Caenorhabditis elegans: one gene and its partner. The protein of the gene in region 2 interacts with the protein of the main gene of each other region in a pairwise test. Each region holds a gene or a part of one and is shown on either strand. Other genes may lie near its edges.

Evidence for each region.
Region 1: the proteins of epn-1 (region 2) and itsn-1 interact in a two-hybrid assay, tested with the Caenorhabditis elegans proteins (3 studies listed by BioGRID).

What each region holds. Positions count from the first base shown.
Region 1 is NC_003282.8:17,117,929-17,125,756, reverse strand, and holds the start of itsn-1 (Intersectin-1), read right to left. Parts: upstream 6,076-7,828; 5' UTR 6,074-6,075; coding exon 5,924-6,073; intron 5,873-5,923; coding exon 5,288-5,872; intron 4,805-5,287; coding exon 4,343-4,804; intron 4,196-4,342; coding exon 3,971-4,195; intron 3,931-3,970; coding exon 3,294-3,930; intron 2,513-3,293; coding exon 2,142-2,512; intron 1,556-2,141; coding exon 1,239-1,555; intron 339-1,238; coding exon 1-338. Other genes in the region: uaf-2 (Splicing factor U2AF 35 kDa subunit), read left to right, coding at 7,214-7,306, 7,358-7,692.
Region 2 is NC_003284.9:14,815,230-14,820,297, forward strand, and holds epn-1 (ENTH domain-containing protein), read right to left. Parts: upstream 3,286-5,068; 5' UTR 3,266-3,285; coding exon 2,993-3,265; intron 2,943-2,992; coding exon 2,681-2,942; intron 2,604-2,680; coding exon 2,446-2,603; intron 2,397-2,445; coding exon 2,010-2,396; intron 1,958-2,009; coding exon 1,807-1,957; intron 1,576-1,806; coding exon 1,397-1,575; 3' UTR 576-1,396; downstream 1-575. Other genes in the region: Dual specificity tyrosine-phosphorylation-regulated kinase mbk-1, read right to left, coding at 4,796-4,873, 4,965-5,068.

The DNA of each region.
Region 1 (7,828 bases), on a different chromosome or scaffold from region 2:
CAGGAGAAGCGGCTTCTTCCAAAACTTTTACATATTCTCCAGGAAACCATCCGGCGATTGGTTTTCCATTTCGAATCAGCTCGCCTTCCCACCAGCCGGCTGCTGATTTTTCACGAATTTTCACAATTTCGCCAACTTTGATTCCCAATTGATTTGGCGCCGATGCAACAAAATCCACGACAACTTTAGCTTCACAGAGGACGGTTGGTGGAGCCGCTGGAGTTGGAGCTTGAGTTGGTGGAGTCGGATCCCCTGCCTGCTGGACTGATATCTCGACATAGTTGGCTGGGAAGATACCCTCACGTCCGTTGCAACGCCCTTTCCACCATTCATCGTTTCTGAAATTATTTTTTGATTTAAATCACTGAAAATTGATATTTTTGTTTTGGTGTCAGTTTTTCAGTTTTTAAGTAATTTTTTTTTGGCTAAAAAACAAGTTTTTTGGGTTTTTGGGGTTTTTTTTAATATGAAGTTTTTTTGGAAAAAAAAGAGTATTTCGGTTTTTTTTTGCAAAAATTGGATTTTGTCGGGCTTTTTTTTAATTTTGTGGAGAAATTAATTTTTTTGAGAAAATATGCTTTTTTTGGTTTTTAAATTTAATTTTTTTTCGGTAAAAATTGTGTTTTTTGGAAATTGTTTTTTTTTCAGGGTTTTTTTTGACGAAAATGACACATTTTTGGCAAAAGTAAGAAAAATTGTGCCTTTTTTGAAAAAATAGCTTTTTAGGTTTTTTTAATGTTAAAAATGACACTTTTGGATTTTTTCTGAAAAAATCGGTTTAAAACAAAAAAAGTTTTATTGGTAAACATGACGCGTGTTTGGTTTTTTTTTTTGGCAAAACTGAGTTTTATGATTTTTTTTCTGGGGAAAAATGTATTTTTTAGCTGTTTTTGTTGCAAAAATGGAATTTTTTTGGTGTTTTTGGCAAAACGACACATTTTTGGATTTTTTTCTGACAAAAATTAGACTTTTTTGAAAAAAAAAAGGTTTTTTTGGACAAGAAATAGTTTTTTGAGGTTACTTTGCCAAAAATAGGGTTTTCCTTGCAAAATTGGAAACAATTATTTTAAAAATTTTGGGCTTATTTGGTTCAAAATGTAATAAATTGATACCCCGAAACCTTTCGTTTAAGCATAATAATAATAGCGCAAGAATACGAAAAGCTATCAAAAAAATGAAAAAATTCAATTCCAAATGAGCTCCTGTCAAGAGCAGCGAGAGCTCCTCTCTCCACTTACTTCTCGAGCACTAGAATTGTGTCACCGACATGCAGTGCCAAATCTGTTGTCTCGACAGCTTCAAAATCGTAGATCACAGTGTAAAGTTGTTGTTGGGGGGCTGTTTCGGAGGCTTGTAATGTCACATCGGAAGGTACCACGTCGTATTGAGCTCCTGCTGCTGCTCCTGGAGCTCCTGCAGAAGCCTTCGAAGGAGACACAATCGGAGTCGTGGTGCTGGTGGTTGCTCCGACTTCTTTCACATAACTTTTCGGGAACCATCCAATTTCGCCGGCAGGATTTCGACCTTTCCATTTCATTTCTTGCTTTTCTAGTACCTGAAATTAATGTTATTAGTTCGAGTTAAGGTGTACCTTCAAAAATCTAAAAAAAATAGTCTGAAATTCAAGAAAAATCGTGAAAAGAAGAAATGGGAATAAAATCCTAAATTTTTTTTCAAATTTTTGGAAAAATTCCCCAGAAACCACGCTCATTTTTTTGCTGAAAAATAGGTTTTTTTGGGGTAAAAAAGGTTTTTTTTGTTGAAAATTTGGGTTCCTTTGTTGATAAAAATGGGTTTTTTTTTGGTAGAAAACAGGTTTTTTTTTAGAAAAAAGAGTTATTATGGGGAAAATGGTTTTTTTTGGGAAAAAAGGTTATTTTATAAATCATACAATTTAGCTGAAAGATAGATTAAAAATCGATTTTTTCACCGAAAATCCAATTTTTTTTTCAAAAATTCGTCAAAATCACATTTTCAAGCTGTTTTTGCAGGAAAATAGGCTGAAAACTCCTAAGAATTGGCTTAAAACTTCAAATTTTTCAAATTTTCTGCCGGAAAACTTGTAAAATCTCATTTTTTTCAGGTTCAAGCTCAAGAATTTCAGACAATTTTTGGATTTTTCGCAGCAAAATGCTCTCCACCTCAATTGTATCTCCTTTTGCAAATGACAAATCCTCCTCATTACGTGCTCTCCATTGGAATTGTGCAATACATTGAGATATTACTGCTGCTGCTGCTGGAGCACTTGAAGCAGGTGGAGCACCACCTTCTGTCAATCCCATTGCCGCTGCGATTTCCGCTTTCCGCGCCGCTTTCACTCCAATTTGATCTACTGATGAGCTCGGCGTCATGTTTGGTGGCATATTCTGAATAGGTGGATCACCGCCTGGAGTAGGTACTGCTGCGATTGCTTCGACGAATGCTTCTGGGAACCATCCGACTTTCTCACGAAGTTGACCGGCACGCCATCCTGGTTCAGCTGCATGGGATTGGAAGACGATTATGACGTCTCCTAGAAGAAAAATAAATAAAAATTAACTTTTTCTCGAATTTTTGCCTTTTTTTTGTCAAAAATGACACTTTTTGTTAAGTTTTTTCTGACAAAAATTGGTATTTTTTGGGAAAAAAAGGGTTTTTTTTTCACAAAAACGGGGTTTTTAGGTAAACATTGATTAGTGATGGTTTTTTTTGTTGCCAAAAACGAAAAAATCCAAACTTTTTGAAAAATTTCAAAATTTTTTTGAAAAAACTGCGGAAAAATAGTTCTTTTTTCCAATAATTTTTCGTAAAAATTTAAAAATTCCTGAATTTTGGACGTTTTCTCCTACAAATTTCAAAATTTTTGGAATCATTTTCAGCTCAGTTTGAGAATTTTTGAGTAAAATTCCTTGATTTTAGTGGAATTTTGCAATTTTTCAGTTTTTTTTTTCGAAAAAATTCAAATTTTCTGAAATTTTTCACATCTTTTATGCATTTAATTTGTTTTCCATGCAACTATTTCAAAAATATTAAATAAGTCATTTTAAATGAGAGATAAGAATAAAAAAATTGAAATTTTCTTTTTTTTTGGCTTTTTTTCTGGAAAAACTCTTAAAAATTTTAGATAAATTCCTTGATTTTAGTGGAATTTTGCAATTTTTCAGATTTTTTTTTGGAAAAATTTAAAAATTCCTGAATTTTATGCCAAACTTTTTCTCCTACGAATTCCGAAATTTCGAGCTTTTTCCGGAGAAGCTCGTAAATCTACACAACAAAAGGCCATTTAAAGGGACATATTGCTGTTCGGACAGCACCTGGTTCAAAACTGAGCTCATCCTCGGATCTTGCTTCAAACGCAAAAAGAGCTCGACACTTATAAGTGTCATGAATATTGAACGCCGATTGATCAACAGCACCCTTCGAATGAGCTGGCGCCTGAGCAATCTGAGCAAATGGATCCGCTGTCGACGTGGCACCGAAATCCGCGTCGAAACGTTGACTTGCATCGGTTTTATCGAATTCTCCGAATGCATCGTTGAAGTTTGCAGGGAATCCGTTGGTGGTAGTAGGAGCTGGAGCAGGAGCAGGAGCTGGAGCAGCTGAAGCTGGAGCAGATTTCGCTTCAAATTCCCCAATTTTGCTCCTGGCATGTGTCTGAGCATGAACCAGAAGCTCAAACGAATTTCGATATTCTTCTCGTTTTGCGACAAGTTTCGAATAAACATCAGTCTTATACTTTTCCTTATTCGTCTTTAAAATCTCCGTCTGATTATACGATTTCTCTTTTTCTGTGGATAATTCCAGAGCGGCATCTTCTATAGCTTTTCGAATAGCATCTCGTTTCCTTCGCAGTGCTTCTAGTTCACTTTTTCTCTGCGTTGTCTCCTTGTGAGCCGACTGTTTTTGTAGAAGCTGATGGCCGAGTTCTTGAGATTCGATAGCTGTCTGGAACTTTTTTGGGTAATTTGCATATAGATTAAACGCGTATTACCTTCTGATTAGTCTCTTGTAATTCTTTAATTCTCGCGACTTTCTCGTCTCTCGTAGATCTCATTCTCTCAATAAATCCAGTCACTTCTGCTACTGCTTCTTTGGCTTTTCCAATGTCCACTTCAACATCGATAACCTTCTCATCAAGTGCTTGTAATTGAAATTGCAGCGTTTTTTCTCGTTGCTGACGTTGTGCAAGACGCTCGTTCTCTTGTTGCTTCTGGTTCTGAAATTAGGGATTTAAATTTGGTTTTTTTTTATCATGAGTAAATAAAATTTCTGTGTTCCAAAAGTTCAATTTTCAAAAGAAAAACTCAAAAAATCGCCTAGAATCCACATAAAAATTCCATTTTTTCTGTTCAGGCATCTGTACCTGCATCTGTTTAACTTTCGCCTTCTCCATTTGAACTTTTCTCATTTTCTCGTCCTCCTCTCTGCGTCTCTCCATCTCTAGCCTCCGCTTCTTCTCCTCTTCCTCCCGTTGAGCTTCAATTATTCTCTGTCTTTCTAGTTCAGCTTGCCGCTCAACTTCAGCCTGTCGTTCCTTTTCTTGTCTTTCTCTATTTTTCTTCGCTTCTTCTTCTCTCTCTTTCTTCTCTACTTCTGCTCGTCTTCGTTGCTCCTCTTCTTCAAGAACTCTACGTCGTCTCTCCAGTTCTGCCTGACCTTTAGATAGGTTATCCTGTCGCTTATCTTCAAAAGTTTTCGGAGCTGGTGACTTTTGTGGTGGCTCCGCTCCTGGTTCGAGTTCAGGGGTATTGTTGGCTGATCTTGATGAGATTCCGCACATCCGGACAAGTTCCAGCGGGGTTATTTTTGGAAGCGCGAATCCACTCTGAAAAAAAAATTTTTTTAAGTTTTTCAGCGGAAATTTTTATGGTGTTTCATGATTTTAGGGTATTTTCCGATTTTCGTACAGAAAAATTTGAAATTTTGAGATTTTTCAGCGTTTTAACATGAAATTTTGCTGAAAAAAACAAGCAAAACGTTGAAAAATCCTGTAAAATTCACTGAAAAACTATAATTCGTGAAGAAAATACAACCGTGCGGCAGTGTTGCGAAAACTCGCGCCGCATGTTGCAAAGTGGGAGGAGCGTCCACGTGGCTTGACTTTTTATTTTGAAATTCCAAGTTTTTGACAAATAAAATTGAAAATATTCCTTATTTTTGTTGAAAAAACATGAAAAATACAATATTTTCAGATGGAAAGAACCTTTTTCTACATTTTTATATCAATTTTAGATCAGAAAAGTTGGATTTTCATGGAAAAAGTGCAATTTTTGAATAAAGAGCTTCTGGCCGGTAACAAAACACATACTTTGAACATTTCAATCATATACTGAGAAATCGCATACTCATCCACTGATAGCTTTCCATCCTTATTCACATCTGACAAAAACCAGATATGCGCGAGAACATTGGTAGGAAGGCCTGAAAGCCCGAGAGCACTCCGTCCGACTTGTGAGCTCAGGGAGCCCAGACGTTCCTTGTCGAGAGCATTAAACAATTGAGAATATTTTAATTTATTGTGGTGAGGAATCGCCCAGTTTTCCAGCTGCCGGCCTTCGAAGACATTGCGATCATTATTCAAAGGGCTTCCAGCTGAAATCGAGTTGTGTCTGCTAGATGGAGTTCCGGCAATCGAAACCGGTGCAGATGGGATGTATGACTGCGACATTCGACGATCAATGGCCGGTGGAAGAGTTTGTGAGTAGTCTACACTGCCATGCCGGCTTCCAGGCCAGGTTGGTGGAGCATTTCTGGCGGGAACTACCAGCAGGGAAGGCGGAAGTTGCGGAGGAATCGGAATTCCGGCAAGACAATTCAGAGCAAGTCGCATCGCGATAGAGTATTCACGAATATCGAGCCGGCCGTCTTTATCCAAGTCTGACAGCGCCCAGATCTGGAAATTGTTTGAATAAAAACATTTTTTTTTTTAAAGTTTAATATCAACCTGAGAAAGCACTTGCGTTGGCAGATTGCTGCGCATTAGTGCATTTCGTGCAGTGACCGCATCCATAAACGGTTGTCCTCCGGTTAATTGGCCGAACATTGCGAAATTCTTCTGATATTCGGCATCGGAAACTTCCCAAGGATTTGTCATCTGGAGAACAGGGGATTTTTCGACAAAAAATGGGAATTTCGCAACAAAAAAGGGAAAAAACGAGCCATATTTTTCTAATTTAACTGGAAATTTATGCGAAGAATCAGCGAAAATGATGAAAAAACACATGTTTTTGGGCAAACAATAGATTTTTTTGAGCCGCTCCGCTCGCCAGCTGCGTCGCGGTCGTGGCCGTGGCCTAGGTTCCCTCTCGGCCATTTCTGTAAAAATTGGCCGCGGCGCGGCGCGGCCGGCGAGCGAGGCGGCTCAATAAAATGTAATTTTTTGGCTAAAATTCGTGATTTTTCCCTAATTTAGCTGGAAATTTCTATGTAAACTTCCCACGGATTTGTCAATTGGGGGTTTTTCGATTAAAAACGCTAAAAATGCGAATTTCGCAACAAAAAGAGAAAATGCGCCGAAATTTCTGTAAATTTGGATTCAGGAACTGAGAAATAAGAAGAAATAAGAAAGAGGCCAAGCGCCGCCGAAAGCTTATCGATTTTTGCGTGCCCCAAAAGAGGAGTGGTCCCCGAGAGCGCGCGGCGAGAGATGCAAGAGACGCAGAGAATTTTAAAGGAATCAAAAACCCCTTTTTTATATATTTAAAAAAATCAATGTTTTTTTTTTCATTTAAAACTTTGCATTTTAAGAACAAATTTTAGTTTTAGAGTGAAAAATCTCGTATTCTTGAGTTTTCTCCAAATAATTTTGAGCTCCAATTGATTTTTAAATGTTCTTTCAGCCTTGGTGCATGAATTAATCGGTATAATCGCGGAAAATTGAAGAGAAATTCACTTAAATTTCAACTTATTTATTAATCTCTGGTCATGGGAGAAAAAAAGAAAAATAGAGAAAACGCTAGAAAAACGCGCGCGCTCACCTTGCCGACGCTCGCCCCGCCCACAAAAGCGTGCCTCGTTGCGTTTTCGAATTTAGCAGGGCAGTTGGTTATTATTTCCATTTTCTATCTGTTTCAGGTTCGCAGTTTGTTTTTTGCATTGAATTCTTGATATTTTGAGTTTTACGTTGTATTCTGAAGTATTTCCGTCAGAATTTGTGTTTAAAAATCGTAATTCTCAGGGTTTTCCCGCTGAAATTGAATTTTTCGTCAAAAATCATTTTTTTTAGTGAATCCCAATGTCGTATGGTGACGGGCTCTCCGGAGCCGAGTACCTGGCCTCAATCTATGGTACTGAGAAGGATAAAGTCAATTGCTCGTTTTTCTTCAAGGTTTGTTGTGGATTTCTGTGAAAAAATTCAATAATTAAATAATTTTTGCAGACAGGAGCCTGCCGCCACGGAGACAAATGCTCCAGAGCCCATCATACACCGACATTCTCGCCAACAGTTGTGCTCAAAAACTTCTACCACAATCCGGTAGTGGATGTCCGTCAGGCGGATGCTTTCGATAAAGTCGGCAAGCGGAATGATCAGGAACAGCGCTATTTTGACGATTTCTACGAGGAGGTTTTTGTGGAGATGGAGCGAAAATATGGAGAAGTGGAGGAGATCAACGTTTGTGAGAATATCGGAGAACACATGGTCGGAAACGTATACGTCAAATTTATGAAGGAAGAGGACGCCGAGAAAGCAAAGAATGATTTGAATAATCGATGGTGCGTAAGCTGAAGCTGCTGTGTTGATAGGGCTCAAGCTGAGCTCAAGTGCTGTGAAGAGAACGTGCCACTGTACTTTGCCCATCGGAAGGGCATTGAAATGGAGATATACCTGGCACAGGGGCCATCTGAGCAC
Region 2 (5,068 bases):
TTTTGAAAATCATGTTTTTCATATGTTTCAACTATATAGAAAAATTGGGCAAAACTTTTATCGGTATTGCACTGACCTTTTTTTTGCTTGAAAGACAAACGAAACTTTCTGTAAAACCACCATTTTTTGAGTAAATTATGAATGAAAGTGTTCAAAAAGCCGATTAAATATTGCAAAAGTGTGTAATCCGGATCAATTAAAAATTAGGCTTGCGTGACTAATGGAGGAAGGAGCTTTTTAAGCGTTTTTCACTTGCCCTATTTTGTTCAGAACATTAAAAATAGGTTTGACCCCTTTCCTGAAAAAAAAAACACAATTTCACATTCTTCCAACAATAACTTCTAGGCCATCCCTTGTTCACCCATTTTTTCTTCCAATAAATGCGATAACCCCTCTGAACCATTGTTCATAACCTTTTCCGCCAATTTCATTCCGGATAAGTGCTCTCGTGCTTTTTATATTCAATTTCCTGCAATTGTTCCCCAAATTTCCGATGGATGGCTTTTTCGTGTCTAAAGTAGCATTTGCGGTCATCAAAAACATGAAATACTAATAATGATTTATCAAAAATTTAAAAATGATAAGATTGTTTATTCATTTGAAAAAAAAAATATTTTTCAGTAGAAGTTGTGTTAATTTTGTTGTTTGTTTTAATGTGGGAAGTCATATGCATCTCCTAAAAAATGTTATGTCTCCAAATTACTGTTAGTCGACAGCATTTGCTTGATATGATGTTATTTAGAAGCAACCAAAGAAAATAAAGAGAAAAAAAAAGAAGACTTCCTTCAATCAGACACGCTACAAAAAATACCATACACACGAAGAAAAAAAAGATGTGGGAAAACTTGAAGGAAAGGGTGGAGCCAAAAAAGAAAAAAAGAGTGAAGAAATTGAACAACTCAACTTCATCAATCGTATCGTTTTATAACGGTTTAATTCAAGACAAGTTGCGGGAGACGAAAATTGTACAGAAAAAGTATAAAATAATTCCCAAAAATTTTGGGAGAAGAGAAGGCAAATGGGTGGGGACGAAATGTTTGAACCGTCACCAACAATTACTTCAAAAAAAAAGAGTCAAGTTTAGCCAAAGGAGGATGACAAGTTAGTGGGGATGGGATGGAGAAGATGCAAACAAGCAATGACAGGCTGTAAAAGGAGGATAGGCTTGCAATAGATATAAATAGATTATACAAATAATCGACATATAAGTATCATAAATTACAAAGTTTAATTTATCTTCGGGCTTCACAAACATGAATTGAAGAAGAAATTGTAAAGGAGGCGCGGGGGAAAAACGTGGTGAGTGTATATGAGAGTGAGTTTCGTTTTTGACAGAAATATATCAAAGCTGATTAGAATAGGTAGTTTCACAGTAAAGACCAATTGCCCGGACTGTTTAGAAAGGATTTGCAAATGGATTGGCTTGTGGAAGTGTCCCACGTGGAGCCATCGATGGAATTGGAGGGGCCTGTCCTTGAGCAGCACGCATCTCATTCAATGTCGGAGACTTTCGTTGTTGAGCAGCAAATGGATTGGCGTTCGCTGGAGCGGCTCCGGTAAGGAATGGGTTTCCACCTGAAAAAAAATGTAGAACATTCAATCATTATCAGTTTTTTTTATTGCGCCAGTGCGTTCGCGCTTTCAAAATTGTGCCCTTTACGACATCACATCTTATCAGCTGATTTTGATATCAGCGGCGCTTCTGCCGTAAAGGTGTGAGCACGAGTTTAAGAGGGATGACACAAACAAACACAGAGCAGTAGCACAAAATAGCACCAATCTGAAAATAAATTTGGTTGTACTGACCTGTGGTGCTTGGAGTTCCGCTTCCCAGCAAGTTGTCCAAGTTGACAAGGTTAGAGTTCTCCCCAAGGAAGTTTTCTGGAGTCTTTCTGGTACCATTTGTGGAGTTGTTAGTGTTGATGTTGGCGCTCAATGAGTTAGTTGGGGAGAGCAGCTGAAATAAATAAATATACAGAATCTACGGAATGACTGAAAATAGATCTTACATCTCCTCCGAGAAGATCAAACGAACTGCTCGTTGGCATTGTTGATGGAGTAGTTGCAGCTGGAGCCGGTGCATCCCAAGAAGCAAACGGATCAGAGTTTGGAGCGGTAGCGGCAACTGGTTGAGCAACTGTCGATGTAGCCCATGGATCGTTGTTGGACATCGAGTTAGCAAACATTTGATCGTTTGTGTTGAGAGAGGCAGAAGCTTGTGGAGCACCCCATGGATCATTCATTCCCCAAGCCGACGATGACGATGGTTGATCGTTGTTTCCACTGACCAGCTCACCAACACCCAACGAAAGCAGGTCGTCAAGAGCGGATTGGGTTAATTGTCCGCTGCTCACGGTACCTTGCTTGGTCGTTGCGAGGCGATCGGCATCCTGAAGCTATAAGGGGTTAATGGGAAGACGGAATATGGTGGGTTTCTAAACAAACCTTTTGCGACTCTTCCAGAGCCATTTGAAGGCGAGCATCATCGCTCTTGCGCATCTCGTCGGCCTTTTCGCATTCCTCTCGTGAAAGAGCAAGAGCAATTTGAAGCTGCATCTCTTCCTCGGTGGCGGTAGATGGACGAGCATCTTCGTACTCGGGGTCTAAAAAAATTTAATTGAGCAGAGTTGTTGTGGGGAAGTATCCGCGCTGCTATTTCAATATGATATTTATATCTTACCAAGAGACGCGTCGGTGACATGATGACGATTGCTGCGACGACTTTCCGCTCCAACCGGTCCTGGATTGTTTTGCTTGAATTTGTTTCTTGTGAGGATGAAGCGTGTTCTTTCGTTTTTCAAGCGTTCATCGTCGGAGAGCAGTGAAGTGATCTGCTTTGCTTTCTCTCGAATGTTCAAGCCCTGATCCCGATTGTCTTCCACATGCTGGAAATCCTTGAGTGTTTCAATGGTGAACACGTTCTCTCTGCATTGTTGCGCGACCTGCAATGCGAAAAAAAATCGATAATGCATATGAGTCAGAAAACCATTACCTTCTCGTGGCCGCATTTGATGAGAAAATCGAGAAGCACCAGACTTTTGTACACGTGTCGCCAGTTTTTGCCAGAATCATTTAATCGCTTCCAAACAATTGACATAATCTCAGTGAACGCCATTGGATTGTGCGTCAAGTCGGCAATTTCGGACATGAGCGCTGTGGATGGTCCCCATGGATCGTTGCTTGTGGCTTCGCGAACCTTTACTTGTGCATCCGAGAAATTATAGGCGACGTTCTTCACTTGCCGGCGAATCGTCGAAATCGACATGTTTGCTCCCCGCCTGAAAATAAAAAAAGTTAAAGAGATGCAAAGGCAGAAATCAAAATTATACAACGAATGACCATTGACTGAAAAGGAAACATCACATGGATAAGATTATGCCCAATCAAATAAACTGAACAGAGAACTACAAAAATGCCAACTGGCAAGAGGGATGATGTGGCTGAATGGTGTGGCTAAAACATAGAAATTGATAAGAAACGATCCAATAGAATCGCGCATGTACAATGCATATTTGAGAGAGAGAGAAAATGAAAGAAAGACAGAGAGGCGAATGAGTGAGGTTTGGAGAGGGTGAGTCTTTTGTGAGTGAATATATATGTGTGTGTGTGTGTGTGGTCTTTTTGCGCGCGTCGCATGCGTTTTGTGTCTGTGTCTGTGTGTGTATCTGTGAGTGTTGAGTGTTGAGCGCGAGAGTATTTCTCCTCGAGGCGAACGCGCGCCGCGCGCGTGCAACAGCGCACAGTGAGCGCACGAGTGTCAGTGCGCGTGCTAGAGAGCACCATTTGCAGTGAGACGCAGATGGTTAGAAGTGTCCCCCAGAGAAAAGAGTGCGCAGAGAAAAAGGAGCCGGATAGTGCGAGAGACACAGTGGCAGCGCACGGTGGTCAGAAAAGAAAGAAATTAAGCTAGTGAGTTCGCAAAGTCACGAGATTATTTGCTTCGTTTCAGTGAGTGAGTGTGTGCTGGGCTGAATGATTGATGAAAAGAGAAGAAGGGGTAGTCAGTGAGTATCAGTTTTTGATAGTGTGTGCTACTATCCGTCGCTGCCTGAAGGTGTTCACAGATTAGGACTGGAAGAGCGGCAAACAAACGTATACACACATGCATACACATGTATTTCGCATTTCCAAATGCCTTCATTTTTCTATGAAAACGGGCCTCCTAAAAAAAAAAAAGAAACATGGATGGAAAGGGTGTGTTATATGAAATTGGACGAAAAATGAAGAGAATACAGAGAAACGAATGGAACTTGAGAAGAACAAAAACAGGTTTTCCTGTGGAGATGACGGGGGGGGGGGGGATTGGCTAAAGGCGTCGAAGATTTATAATATCTTCCTGGTCGCGTTGCGAAATGGATGGATGGACATTGGTGGCAAACGGGCGGTGGGGGAAATGGCAGAAATTGCAAGAAAATTCTGAACGAAAAACTTCTAGTATGTAGTACTTTTTTGCAGTCGGTGACGAATGCCCCGCTGCTGCTTGGGTTGAGGATAGCTCATTGGCAAATAGAGAAGTTACGAAATATCTGAACAGGTTTTTTTTTCTGTTGACACGTCATTCATGCTTGTTTTAAATGTTTCCAATATTTTTAATTAAAACTTCCAAAAAAAAAACCCTCTTAAATTGATAAATTGAGAACTTATAATTGAAAATACAACAGTAGTAATAAAAAAATGCTAAAGTTGAACCAGTGTTTATTAACTCCATATTGTTCACAGAAACAAAAAAAAATAACAAGCATTACATCAAATTGACAGAATTTCCAAAAAAATTAGCTATTAGACTCTGTGTGCTTCAGAGTTTGTTGTTCGGGTAATCGAGTTTCTCCATCTCTCGGTTGTTAGCATTTACATTTCCATGCGTCATCGATACCTAAAATATTTATTTTCAATAATTGGCATTTTCTGAATGATGGGTGGGGGGTGCAGCAGCGCATTTTTTTTATTGCAAAAAAAAATCTCACCTGTTGTGGATTGAATTGATTTCTAGAAATCTGATTCGATACAGAGTCATCAACTTTTCGCTGCTTCTGCTGAAACGTGTCATCCAGCTCAAACTGATTCCTCC